Linked DNA regions of Lepisosteus oculatus. The protein of the gene in region 2 purifies or fractionates together with the protein of the main gene of each other region. This does not show direct contact. Links are inferred from orthologs where the notes say so. Each region holds a gene or a part of one and is shown on either strand. Other genes may lie near its edges.

Evidence for each region.
Region 1: the proteins of ybx1 (region 2) and mrpl3 purify together in Homo sapiens (affinity purification with mass spectrometry; 3 studies listed by BioGRID and IntAct, with this or other methods). This does not show direct contact. The link is inferred for Lepisosteus oculatus from reciprocal best matches to the Homo sapiens genes YBX1 and MRPL3.

What each region holds. Positions count from the first base shown.
Region 1 is NC_090705.1:42,135,217-42,143,114, forward strand, and holds the start of mrpl3 (large ribosomal subunit protein uL3m), read right to left. Parts: upstream 3,008-7,898; 5' UTR 2,872-3,007; coding exon 2,804-2,871; intron 1,675-2,803; coding exon 1,496-1,674; intron 1-1,495.
Region 2 is NC_090720.1:9,798,825-9,806,031, reverse strand, and holds the start of ybx1 (Y-box-binding protein 1), read left to right. Parts: upstream 1-4,198; 5' UTR 4,199-4,322; coding exon 4,323-4,428; intron 4,429-6,970; coding exon 6,971-7,034; intron 7,035-7,207. UniProt on the Homo sapiens protein: DNA- and RNA-binding protein involved in various processes, such as translational repression, RNA stabilization, mRNA splicing, DNA repair and transcription regulation.

The sequences.
Region 1 (7,898 bases), on a different chromosome or scaffold from region 2:
AGACATTGAACTAGTTTTAAATATCTTTATGCTGGCACTATAAAATACAAATAGGTGTTAATATGTCCAATTAACATTCTTCAATAAATACTTTACACGCTTCTTTCAGACTCTGTATGAAATGTTCTGTTACACAGTGCTATCTGTAATTCATTTCCGGCACCAGTGTTCAAGAAAGCAGATTCCTTAACTCTTCATTTGCTTACAGTCCAGCTGCATTGACTCCAGTTATACATAATTGCAGGTTAAATGAGAAAAGTTAACCATTTACCTAGTAGAATAGTTTTTCCAACAACGTTTGATCTGACTCAGTTTTGGAATACAATTAGTGAATGTTGCAACATAAAATATAAGCAGCCAAAAGCCTCAGAAAACAAGCTGAAGACAGGAGAAAATCATAATGCGTCCTAAAGTTGACATGAGACGCCAAATCTAGCACTAAGCGACGGCTTGGTATTTGAAATTTGTTTTCAAACAGAACAGTTAGGTTGTACAGAGGATATAAATAAATGTTTTGAACATTTTTTGTTCTATTTTTTGATTGTAACAGAAGCAGATCTAAAACTCAGGGATCTGATGTACATAAACAAATAATATTTCTGTTTATAAAATATTTCTGTGGGGCGGAGTGGTGGCTCTGTGGCTCAGGATCTGCGCCTGTGGCTGGAAGGTTGCTGGTTCAAATCCCACGGCCAGCAGAGGAATCCTATGTTGGGCCCCTGAGCAAGGCCCTTAACCCCAACTGCTCCAGGGGCGCTGTACAATGGCTGACCCTGCGCTCTGAACCCAAGCTTCTCTCCCTGTCTGTGTGTCTCGTGGAGAGCAAACTGGGGTATGCAAAAAGATGAATTCTTAATGCAAGAAACTGTACATGGCTAACAAAGTGATTTTATCTGATCTATATGTAATTTAAATTTCATTGCTTTACTTTCTCCATTACCTTCATTCATTAAAATATTTTCTGCTCCAGCTTCTTGCTTTTCAAAGAATAAAACGTTAAAGGAAAGGTATAAAAAACATTGTATCCTACAGATCTTTAAGCAGCTGCTGTATATAGTAAGTGCAGACAGAGCTGAAAATTCTTTAATACTACTTTACGCATAATCGTGTTCAGTTCTATTAACTCAAAATCAAGCCAAATATAAAAAGTATTTGTGTTCACTTCATATGCAAATATTAAAGATCTGTCTCAGTTTGAGATTTACCAATGCATAAAGCTATAACACGGTCATCAGAAATGGGGAAGTACTGTCCAATATTCTCATGGAAAATGGCCGCCTGGCTCACTCACTGTAACCAATGCAGCAGAACAAAACTTAGAACAGTTACCATACTGGAGCAACACAGCCCAGGACGACCGGTTGGTTCTGTGCTCCTTCCACCCTGAGGCTGCTAGCCACAATGGCAGAAAAGACAATAAACCTACTGCATTTGGGTTTAAACATCCCCCTAGCAAACTCCTGCTTACTCTTTTAGAACTGTTCACACACCTTACCTGCCTCCCACTCCTGTCTGGGCCAGGGCTCATCCTTCAAAGGGCACAGTTTGCTCGCGGTCTGGCTGCTGTACTCCTCGGGTATCACTCTTCGCAGGAACTTGTTATTTTCATCGGAAAGGTGCTCATCCCACCAGGTTGTACTCTTGATGGTGCCAACAAACCGTACGCACAGAGGGCTACAAACACAAAAAATAAAGTAAATCCTCATGTATTTTTAAATCTGTAGATTTATTAACCTTCATTTATGCTGATAGGCTGTCCTAGAAAGAAACATACGTTCAACACAACCCTCAGATAAGACTGCTTCTTCTATATATTTATTCAATTTTAATCTTCTCTGAAGGTGGATACTGAAAAGGAGAAGCACCCTTTTTGGGTAAGAGAAAATAGAACGATCCAAAACATTTTAGTGAAAAAAGCTGAAAATAAAGAATTAACTTTAAATTATATTGATAGTAACTGATGTAAAAAGGCAATTCATTAACAGGATTTTTCTTGGTCATCCAAGAGATGGTCTAGCTGACTAGCAGCAAAATCTTTTGTAAAAACTATGAGACTATCATTTTACCTTAAGCTAAGCAAAACTCATCCACATTTGTGTAAAAGAAAAAAATCAGAATAAACTTTACTTTTAACTTAGTATGGCCTTAAATTTTGGGTGATGAATAGTTCTGCTTCAGTCAATGGCCGATTCTAAATCTGTCGCCTATTAAAGCTTGCCCGTCGTTCTTTTTTAATCTTCCTTTATAATTATTTCGCTAATTCCTGCATCCCGTATTCAGACTCGAGTCTAAATCTAAACTTACAGTTCACAGCGTCTGGAGGACCACTTGAAATCCACCAGCACGCGTGGATATCGTGTTCATATACTGCGCTTGCGTGTCTGCTTTCAAATCACACCTGAAGAAGGCTCCAAGGTCGAAACTTTCTTCTCTTTTCAACATAGAATAAACATATTACTTGTTCCTTTTCATTTAAACTATTACTCAAAAGGCTTATTCATCCCGAATTACTGTATAACTGTATTTCAGTTGTCACAGAACTGCATCGCCTCTCAAAGAACTGCAAGAAAACAGTACAGTGTATGTGCATCACTGCTTAACTACAGCTTAATTCACGCACCTGCAATCACTATGAAGTTACACAAATAGACAAGCTGTCGAAACTTATCTTAGTATAAAGACGATACAAATATAAATACAGACGATATACATAACGTAACTGTTCATATACACATTTTGTATTTTATATCGTACTCATATGACTTAGAATGAACTCAAACAGATAACAAAATCATTTACATACCTTTCAGCTCCCTTTAACAGTGGGTCTCTTAATCCCCACCTTAAAAACCTGCAGCTCCACGCTGCCATTATAGCAATTAAACTTTTAATTCAGTTGGTATATTTATTGTCGTCCGAATCTGATGTTAATTTTCGGCATGTATCCACACTCAGGCTTTCACGCTTGTACCGAATGTCACCCTAGGTCTTCCGGGTACGCTTCAGAAATACGTCCGTGCTGCTGAGTTAGGCTGAGAAAGCAGTTCCGGAGGTTAACCTGCAATATAGGGTACACAGTTCACGGTCTAACGCGAGTATCCATTCTTTCCCATTGTTTGGAAGCTTAGGAAATCGTAGTTGCACATAACAGCATTACAGATCTGTTTTAATTTAAAATACGTTATATTTAATTTAATTAATTTAAAATATTTATATACGGAAATTATAATTGTATATTGCATGGCTCGATTTTTTATCCTAACGTCGCCCTGAAGCGCTATACACATCCTGATGAAGGAGGAGTAACACTTTCATTGTATACAATAAAACTTCACAGGTTGTGACTGTATAGACTGTTTTCATAAGTGTCTCGGCAAGACAAAATGCCAGCTCTGACAAATCTATAATTTTACACAGGGTGCAAGATTCAGAAGTAATCCTATGAGTGTGTTTACTTAATTCTACGAATTTACTACAGTATATGCCATTGAATAAAGGTTACAGTTTGAAGTAAATTTAATTCTCATTCCACACAGACTACTTTAATGAAGTACTTAATGAAGATAATGGTGTTATTCCTTTAACAACTTTCTCAGTTTATGATAAATAAGCACATGCAGCACACAATGAAAGTTTACATACTGTAATTTTAATTCCAAAACACTAATCTGGTGAATTATGGCATCTATACAGTATATAGATATAGGTATATTCAATTATATACAGTATAAAAAAATATAGGGGATATTCTATATCTAGCATTGAATACTTAGATTAAGCAATATGACAAGTGTGATTTGGTTAATATTATCAATCTCATCGGAAATAACAAAACAGATAACTCATATTTGTGACATTACTGTGGATAAAAAGCCACAAATCTGTTTCCACATAATAATACTAATACATCTGGTTAGTTCTCTTGAACAAAATCAATTTCAGATTAAACATTTCTCTTAGGCCAGCAATTGAGCTACAGAAATTTCAATCTCTTAAAAAAGATAAATGTTGTTTTTGACTAACATAAATACCAGCAGATATTTTTATCAGCCAAAAACATATCTCAGGAAATATAATTAGTATTTACTGTAATAAAAGCTACAACAAAATAGTTATTTCCTATATACGATATTTAGAATCAATATTTAGAATCTGCAATATTAAGTTTGAAACAAGCATCATCACCAACATTTTGTATAACTAAAGAAATGAAATATGAGTGCAGGATAGGAATGAATTCCCAAATCTAGAATAAAGGGTCCTTGATTTTTTCATCTGTGAATATTTATCCCAATATTGTTCCATTTTAATAATATATGGAGTTCAATATGAAATGTTTTTTTATATTCTGTTGTACAGCTTTGACTTAATGATACAAATTCGTATGTGCTACTGCTTTTAAACAAAGGCTCCTACAGAATTACCTTTTCTCTTAACTATATTAAATGTTGTTTTCTTTGGATAAATGTACATTAAATGTCTCTTAGAAATAAAAAAGAAAATCATTAGTTCTTGACACTATTCGGAGAGGAAAGGTTTCTAATGGATAGGAAAAGAGCTTCCTGCAAGTACAGGGTTTGTATTATCTAATGGGTGACATGAAAATTAATCACTCCGTGTTCTAGTCTGGATCTAAGTCAAAATAATAGCAAAAAGATATTCACCACTTTCTGATTAGATTAAGAAAAATCGTTGAACTAAAAAGGAAAAATTATTGAGGAAAAATTCAATAAGTATATTTTTTGTCTTTGCTGTTCAGTGCAGTAGCCCAGTAGATGCATTTAAAAGCTGAGAGATGTTTAAAATTCTGTGTTCTGAATGTCATTGTAGATAGTGTAACTCAAAGTAATGTTTATTTATATTTGTGCTGAACAGCTCTAATAACAATCAGCAAAACATAATCACTTTAAATAGAAGCTCAAAGCTGGGTAATTAAGACATCAGCTACATTCATTTTGTTAAATGAGGGATATCAACAAAATTAATATATGCAGTTTTTTTATTTGTTTATTAACAAGCACTGGCTTCTGAAATGGAGGTGAATTCCTGTGAGAAAGTTTTCCTTTGTAAGTGGATTCATGTTTAACACCTATCTTTCCACAGAATTGAATGAACGAGAGAGGGTAGATTCTGCTTGTAAAGAAACCCTTTACAATAACTATTTTATACATGAAATTGTCAATTACTCTCTTATTTTATTTTACACATATCATGCCCAGCAAATACTGTAACTTGCCTGTCATATGCAACCTATAAGAGCAAACATGTTTAAGAATATACAAATTTATATTCCATGTCTTTTGAGTATCGGTATTTGTGTGAAATACATTCATACCAAAAATACCCTTACAGGAAGCGCAAGCATAAACTTTCAAGGCACATGAAAACGTATTAATCTTCTCAAAAGCAAATACTACACACACACCACAGTCTGCTGATAATTCACAGCAGTCTTGTCTCATTAAAATATTCCCTCTCTGTTGGTTTAAAAGTTCTTATAGTGATATTATTCCTCCAGACTTTCAAGAGTGTTAAGTTCCCCAGTGTTAAGGGGTCAGTCTTTTTTCTGTAAGGTTTTAAATGCACCTATCTACAGTATTTCTGACTTCTTCTCAGAAAAATTTACATGAATGTGACTTAGTGGGAGCCAAATATTCAGAATATTTGTCAAAATCTTCATTTTATTCAACAAAGGTGTAGGACAGCTGTCAACATTTGCTTCCCGCTTCAATGCACCACTTCTTTTCCCACTGAATAAAACTCTGGTCATATTGTGACAGAAACACGTCAATCAGTTTCACACGAATACTTACACTCAAAGGAAACGCAACTCCCAGGTGAAATGGATTCGAGCAGAAACTTCAAACAAAGATATCAACCAAACGCACAGAAAACGTGATCTAACGTACAGCTCAGAGAATCACCATATGTTTTCATGACGAAACACTATCAGAATGAAAACATTGGAAAGTTAGTATCGATCATGAACTCTCTCGGCATTAACATAATCCTGGTGGCGTTTTCAGTTTGGAAAGACTGCTGTGGGTTGTTCCACCACTCCATATGTGCACCTGCAGAGGGACGACCCGTAACAGCTGTTTTCCATAGATGGGCGTGGTGAGTTGGACCCACAGCTGTTCTATTGGATTCAGGGAGAAAAAGCTGGCCACAGCAAGATCCCAGCAGTGATTTCTTCAAATGTGCCACTATTATCCAAGCACTGAATGGTCTTGCATTGTCATGCTGGAAAATAACTACTGGACTGGAAATGCAGGAATGGAAAAAAACAAACTGTTGCCTAAAGCAATGGCTCCCAATCCTGGCTCTGGAAAAGCACGTGCTGATTGATTTAATTAAGTATTATTTTGGCATATTTGTACATTTACTCTCGACAAATAGGATTGGCAAATGGTATCATCCCTGTACCATCATCTGAGTTTCAGAACTGCCCACAGGTGTCAGGTGTAACCAACTGGACTTCGAGAGAAGGAGAAATATTAGTATCATTCCCACCTTTCTCAAAGAACAGCAAGCAAGTTGAATAAGGTCTGTAGAGTTCTAGCTATGCTCATTTTTCAAGCAGAAAATGCAGTTCTAGAGAACTTCTTTCACACAGTGTTTCAATTACACCAACTCTTGACAGTGTTTAAAATGTCTAATATTTTTGCACACCAATATAAGATCCCAATGAACTCCATGTATACCAAAAGTAAGATCTAAACCTGGACGAGCTCTGACTGTTGCTGTCAGTGCTTAAAATGCACAGTGCAATACAAACATCATGCAGTTTACTAGTGAGGTGTGACTGGCAATCCTAGAATCCTTTGGTGAAAGGTTGCTGTTAAAGAGTAATACATAATATCCTTTCATATTCCCGTAATTCCTATGAAGCATTCAGTCACTGACACAGATCACACAGATGTTATTGATCCTCTTAGGTGACAAGGTTTTTATCATCTAATCTCTAAAATTCCTTATTATCTTTTATGCACTGCAATGTCATGACATTAGTTGCAGTGTTAACTTCATATGCAATGTTGGCCTTCATTTATGCTCTTTGGGGAACATCAAATGATTTCCCTCAGTCTTAAGTCTATAAGCCATATATGTTATCTATACATATGTATATACTGTACTGTATATATTTTGCAATATATTATGTATTTAAGATTTCTTCCCAGCAATTTGTATTTGAATTGACCTGAAATCAATTTGAAGTGAGGACATATACTATTCTGAAGGTTTTTTCATTTATTTCCAAAAACTCGAAGAAACCATGTTACTTAATAATTTCAACCTGAGAACATAGTGCACAGCCTGGGAAATAGGCCCACTAACCTAACCGCTGAGAATTTAGAAACCTTTCTGCATAAAACAGTGGCTCTTGTGTACTTTAACAACATCACTATCAAAAACGTTCAACAATTTGTCACTAAGGTTTCAAACAGTGAAATGACCATGACCTTTCAGCATCAGTGGCCCAGTTATGTCTTGGCTTGATAGAAAACCTGTAGAGTAAGAGTTAACTCTCTGTCACAGCTACCATCCCTCACTTTTTTTATTCATTCAGTTTATCACAGCTGTACAGACTTGCAGACCGATGTTTCTAGCTTCATTAAAAGTGAACCACACAGCCTAAGCTTGTCAACAGAAATCTCCTTTGTGCTCATGTTCAATATCCTCCAGCATACCTTCAGGTTATATGAGTAAGCTAGCTTGTATTGATTCTACAGAACAAAATCTAACAACACTCACATTTTTTGAGTAGGTGGATCATAGACAGCATGTTTTGCATCTGAATTTGGGGAATAATTTACAATGGATCACTCAGAACACTATGCCTCACTCCCTTAACATCATCAGCTCTAAACGTGCCCGGGCAAACCCATCTGTAAATG
Region 2 (7,207 bases):
TGCAACAGCAGCCATAGTGCGCCATTACACTCCCCACACACCTGCTATCAGTGGGGAGGAGTTCAGAGATGGGGATTATTAGGAGGCCATGAAAGGTAAAGGCCAATGGGAAATGTGGAAGTCCACATATATTGTATTGTATAAAGTGGTTATAAAATCTAACAATTCTAGCTGAGGCTCTGTTGCCAATTCTAATTGGTTTTATATGTGCTGGTGAGCAGTGGAGTCTTGGAGCAAATGTGAATAGGGCGTAATGAGAGTGTTGTTTGATAGGGACGGCCTGCGGCTTGCTTCTCACATTGCATTCCCCAGCATCCGATCCTGATGGCTTTAATGCACTTATTGCCAAGCATTCCATTACAAGCCAATAACGATCATGCACCAGCACAGCCAAGCCACCCCGAAACATCATAACAGCCTCCTCTGGAAGGCTGTGGCTTGGTTAGATTAGGCCAAAGGTTTTAGCAGTATTTTACAAGGTAACCACACAACGGGAGGGTGCAGATTATATCAGACATCCAAACACTTCAGACTTGAACATTGTGGCGATGTTCTCGGGAGGCTTTGAGGATTTTTTGCTGCACATTCTAAAGATGGCGGAATGGTACAAACTCCCAGACATGAACACTGTTGCACTAACACCCTGTAGTGGTTGTAATGACCCCAGAAATAACATTTGGACAATAGCTCCTGAAGCCTATGAGCTTGCATTGCCACGTGGTTTTTGTGCCAAATGTTTGGAAGCTGTGATTACCAAGTCCTGACTAAGACCCAAACTTGTGCACGTGCAACATTCACTAATTTCTTTTGCAATCTGTTCGTTTCAGCAAATAAAAAAGTAATTGTGCATTCAAATGTGGAGAAATATATCATGTTTAAATTTGAATCCTCCCGAGACTGCGTTCACTTCTTTTCACTTGGCGATTCAGTGAAACGTGCCAGTTGACCAGGGGTGCCCAAACCTTTGATCACAACTGTGCACGAGTGTTTAAATTGGTGTGCTCGTCTTTGAGTTCTAAAAACCCAGCACTTAACGTGAACAGATGTGCTTCACTGAACCCTATCAACGCCCCCCAGTACCTGATTTCCTCTGCAGGACAGATGGAATTACACTTTCTTCCAAAGAAGGAGGTAAATGCAATAAGTTTTATACAGCAGATTCACACAGGAAAGCTCACTCTAAGTTTCCATATTAGGAGATGTTTTTTCTCTCTACAAACAAAAACAGAAGGTGTGAAACTGAGCTAGACGCTTTGCGGTTGTAATATTAAAGTCAAAAGGTCAAATAATATGCTTGAATTATCCTTTTATACTGTTGCTAAGCACAAAGCATATGAGCTAATACAAATAGTCACTATTTTATATACTTAATAAAAAGGCAAATGCTCAAATTCTTCCTCAATGGTTTGGTTGCTTGAAGTGACCAGAAAGCCTTGATTGTGAATACTAGAAAAACAGAATAAATTGTCTTCGGTCTCGAACAGGATGAATATCCTTCCCCAGTCACAACTCCTAATGAGTCTATTAAGCAACCTAGTGTACATCCTATGATGCGCTGGGAATATACACAGAAGCTACTCTGTCTTGGAAGGCACATGTTGACCGCAAGTTGACTTTCTTCACAGGTTATGGGCTGTTGGTACCAGTAGTCAGGTTTTGTCAATGCATTTTCAGTTCTGTGGTACAGAATGTCATGCAGTGTGGAATAGCTCTCTAGTATAACAGATGTTCTCTGTGCAACAAGTAAGTTAAGATGTCCAAACTCTGAAGATGTGTTCTAAGATAGTGGGCAGGTACTTGAGCAGAGCTTATAAAACTGCATGCATTAACAGTGCGCTGTTAGTATCTCCCTCTGTGTTCTGCAGGAAGAAAATCTACTGATGCCTTCCTGCAGTCGTTTTAAAGTCCCCCGATGCAGATCTTAGAAAGATGAGGAATTCCTTTATCCTACACCCAATCAAACCACTAAGTAAATTAGTTCACAGTGATTTCTGTAGAGTACTGGTTTATGGGCAAGTGCAATTAGTGGTTTTGTGCAGTTCTAGGGTTTTGGAATGATTGGTGAAATGCAGATGGGATTCCTGTAGGAGAGGTGTCTGATGAATTTGTACAGGTCCCCATTACCTGTAAAGCACTTTGAGTAGAGTGTCCAGAAAAGCTTTATATAAGTCCACAGCTCCAGGCTTTCCTGATCTTTGATAGAAGGCATTTGCACATGGTACAGTATGTTACTGCAGCAGTCAGGGAGAAGAGCTTTACTCTAGGGTACAACAGCAGTGTCTTGTCTGGGATGGAAAATCACCACCTTCTGTTTACAAGTCAACAACCACTGCTCCATACTGCTGTCCCAAACCTGTATTTCTGAGAATGTCCTGTTACCTGTTATTTCATAGATCCCAGTGGATAAATCAGTTGAAAAATTAATAATTGAAATGGTATCCTGATATCTCTGGATAACATTCTGAGGGGACAGACCCTGCTCCTAGTTATTCCTCATAAGGACACTGGTCTTAATTTTATCAGTGTCCTTAAAGGCTCCCAGCACAGTGTCCTGATATCATTCTTCTGTGGTCAGAAGAGTTTGTGTGACAGGGTTTGTGATTGAATCAGACGTCAGTGGAGGGTTTTCTGAAGGTCTCCTACAGGGCACCGTAGAGGCCTAGATAACTGTGACAATCCCACAGAATATAATTAACAGTAATTAACTTAACTGCTGGATCGGTTTACTGCATTATGCTAACAGACAAGCAATTTAATATGGGGTTTAGGATTTTCCTGGTGTCCTTCTGACATTTAAAAAAACCCACTCTGGTTTTGTGGAAGTCTTTTTGTGGTGAGGACCAGCTCAAAGCACTTTACAAACAACAAAAATGGAGACATTTAAGGCCTTATAATGCATCAATATATAAGAAAAATGGGGCCTAAATAAAAAGAAAAAACCTATATACAAGTTTAAATTATCTTCATTCAACAAAATGTACTTCAAGATCCTGACTCTTGAGATATGTAATCGTAACTGTTTTTAAAAGTGCTAATGTTCACAATAACGGATTCTCATTACTTTATATAATGTTCTTTTTTTTTAGTTATGAAGAATATCGTATTGTATGCAAAAATAATTATAATATCAATGCTTAGAATTAAAGGCAGCTACGGGATTCATTTTTTGATATACAGTATCTAATCAATGAATCTACTCAACTCATTCAATTTTAATTTTAATTCCAGACAGGGATGAGTCGCAATAAGACTGATTCGGATGGGAGAAGTTTATAATCTAGGGTCTTGCCTTTTAGGGGTTATAATTGCCCATTGCACCAAGACAGTATTGAACGAAGTATGGAAAATGTTTTTACTTGTTTAAAGGCGAAATTTAAAAGAATAGAACTAGGATTAATTTACACTGCGGTACACAGTTAAACAGATTTTCAGATTCTTAATCTAATGTAAACGAATAAACTACGAATAAAACGAATGAACTTGTTTTTGAGGGCTTTAAGGTCTAGGGTACTGATTACAGGCAATCCTGACCTACATCTGTAAACTTCACGCTAATGTTTGCATCAGTAGTTCGAGAGCAGTTTAACCCTCTCCGTGCATGTTGATCAGATGTCTGGTCCGATGTTCCTTGTACTGTCAAACACTGACAATGTTACAGGCGCAGGGCAATGCGTAAATATTCCTATCACGAAAGATAAAGTGGGCGTGATTTATATTAACTGTAACATTTTGCCAATCCCTAGCATCGTGGGCGGCATCCTTGACATTATCTGCCCAACCAGCGCCACTGATTCACAATCTACTCCGGAGAAAAGGGGAGTGTTTGATTGGATTGAGCGCGGCCCCTTCTAAAAACTATGCAGTTGAGTGACACTTCGGTCTTCCAATCAGAGCTAGAAATGCGTACAGCTGGGTTAGATTGACGCGTTGTTGTCCAATCACAACCAAGCACTCGCAGAATACCGAGTAGGCGGGTTTTTATGCCGCTCTGTGGAGTCGCAATCCAATTCACCGCCGCGGAGGTTTTGGTGAAACGGACGGCGCCGCGCACCAATAGGAGCGACGGAAAAGAGCACCGGCCCAAGACGGACAGGGGTTCTGACCAATAGAATCAGAGAATGGGCGGTCGCGCCTCTGACAATATTGTCAGGTATCGGCTCGCTTTCCGTCCAGTTCGATCGGCAACGGGAGCGGAGAAAGGAACGCTGAGAGCCCGAAGGCAGCAGCCCCACCACCGCCGGCCCAGGTTACCATCACGCACCGGGAAAACACGCTAGAGAGCCACCGCCGGCACAAGTGTAACGTAACCCACCGAAACCACCATGAGCAACGAGGCCGAAACACAGCAGCAGCCGCAGCAGCCCGCCGCCGCGGAGAGCCCGTCCAGCCCGGCAGCCGCAGCTACCGCGGGGGATAAGAAGGTCATCGGTGAGCCCCCCGGTCTCTCGTATTTTTTTCTTTTCCCGTGTTGTTACGTGATTTGAACTGGGGACGCGACGCCGAGGTTGAGGGTTGGAGAGGTGACTTTTTTTCTCCGGCGTGCGGTGTGTCGGGCTCCGGGGTTTCTTTGTGTGAGAAAAGTCGGTTGAGCGTTGATGGTTGAGGGGGGGGCGGGGGGGCGAAAAAAAATAATTTGGAAAAAATAACGAGCGGGCGGCCTCGAGCGGGTCCGGGGCAGCAACGGTTCTCGTCCCGTCGCCGTGGTGACGGGAGCGGGCTGCGCTCTCGAGCCCCGGCGCGTGCGGGGAGCCCGGCGGAGCGGAGCCGGTGGGTGGGATCGGGCCGGAAGCGCCGGGGTGGGTTTGTGGATTCCGCTGGTGGGTTTGGGATAGTGATCGGAAAGACACCCCCCCCCCCTTACTCACAAACACACACTACTTGCCCACGCATCCCAATTCCTCCCCTCCTGGGGGTGGGGGTTTCTAGGTGTGGGTTTGGACTGGGCCGGGCCCAGGGGACACATGGCGATCCGGCCGCCTTGCAGGGTCTGTGCGTGTGGGGGAGAAGGGGGGAGCGACGCAGGCGAACTTGGCCTTGCTCTTCACCTCCCCGGGGCAGCCGGGGCGATACTGGCCGCCCGCCTCCCGTAAGTGGGTCAGGTCGCGTTCTCCCGCGGGCCCTTCCGCACGGAGCCCGCCGGGGCCGGCCTGCAGTCCCCGGCCCGCGGGTAACGCGAGTGCCGGGCTGCGGGAGGGCCGGTGTGAAGACTCCCCCTTCCTCACTGCTCCTCCACACACACACACACCCTTTGTTCATTACAGTGCGGTGTAGTAACTTGAGCGTCGTGTACGGGCCGAGGGTGTGCAGCCGCTTCATAAATCGGCAAAGCCGTCTTTCCCGACGAAAATGCCGCTTGACGGCTTACAAAAGAGGCGTCGCGTTCCCCCCCTCCTCGGATTATACTAGCGGCTGTGTGGAAACTTGGCGAGGGGGGAAAAAATCCAAAATGTCCGCCGCGGTGTTTGGATACGAGAGGGATTTCTTTTGTCTGAGGGAGGCGATGTTTTTTTTTTCCTGGCGTGTGGGTGCTGGGGAGGCGGGCGGCGTGACCAGGAGGACCGGACTGCGGCCGATCCCCGTTCCCCGTAGTTTAGGGTGGGGGGGGGGCGATTAATCGGCGGCCCTGCCGTGGAAATCGCCGTCGGTTTGGCGCGGATTGTGGGCGTCCGTCCAGCCACATGGTAGCGCGTCGGGCTGGGAAATATGGAAGTTTCGCGCTGTAACAGGCGGAGACCAGTACAATCGTAATCCCCTGCGCGTCCGTTGTACTGGGAATAATGGAAGTTTGACTGGCGATGGACGGCCGCTTGAATGATTGATTTATCGATACTGTATTTAGTTTCGCGTCCGTGTGGGGAGAGTGCAGGAGACCACGTGTGAAGCATTCTGACACTTCCTTATATCGTTACAGTGAATCATTCTTGTTACAGGAAAGAGCCGAGGTTACGATTGGTTCTTTGTAGCAGCAGACTGTTGAAGCATGGCCGGGCCACGTCGTATACCCCTGTATAGCCAGTAGAAGTTCTTTCGCCCGAAATTATGTTCTGATCCAATCAGCGGGGTTGGTGAATGTATTTTGGACACGAGTTCATCATACTGCTGAAGTAGTTAGTTTTGCAATGGACAGCTAGGCTTTGCATCATAATCTATAAAAAGCTTGTCACCATGTGGTTAAATATAGTGTCCAGATAGTTTTACAAGCCCTACCCCACTCAATAGTCGCAGCACTCCATGCTCCTAGTTCTGAGTTTCTCTGAATTCGGCCAATTAACCAGACAATAGCTGTAGGTCCCGGTTCTGAGCGTTAGGTCCTCATTTTATGTTTCCACTTTTCCTAGTAAACCTTTTCTCCTAGTGCTTACATGGTCAGATTTTAATGAGAGTGATGTTACAGTAAAGTCCAAGGAGTGACTAGAATATAGTTCATAAGTTGTTAAATACGGAAAGCAAATCGGTTCCAATTTTAAGGACTACATTTTTTTTTTAGACAAAACCTCTGCTGTTCATTATTACTGTATATACTTAAAGCAGATTTTTAAGTGACACATGATTTGAATAATGCTTAAAGTTACAGAGGTGTGGAGAGAATTTAAATATTTAACCTGTTTTTTGTCAAAAGAGACTCTAAGAGCCTCTGGGCTGAAGTGTGATATAGAGCTGTAGTTTTGCAGAGATGTGTAAATGACAGGAACGTGACAAGCAAGGGTGTACTGCCTACAGTTAGACTCCTGTGTGTAGAGAGAGAATGATGGTAAAGCATCAGTGCATGGTGAAATTAAGGCTCTACAATTACATTTTACTGTAGAATACGTTAAATACAAAAGAACCCATCAGAGTGAAAGTCTGCTATGAGACATTATAATGTGGTTTTCTTTGTTTTCTGATAATTCTGGTGTCTGGAATTTGTAAGTTAATAATTGCCTGACTGCTCTCTGGGTATATGAAGATGTAAGACTTGTTTGTTTTCCAGCAACAAAGGTGTTGGGAACAGTGAAGTGGTTTAACGTGAGGAACGGCTACGGTTTCATCAACAGGTAATTTAAGCTCTCTCGCCTTGTTTAGGACATGGATGTGACCTGTGGGTCTGATATCGTGCTCAATCCTATTAGCCAGGTTATTTGCTTGTACAGCTGTAGATTTATTAGTCAGTGTCCTGCTCCTGTTTACTTGCTGGGGTTTAGCAAACCATAAGCCTGTTAATTTAGAT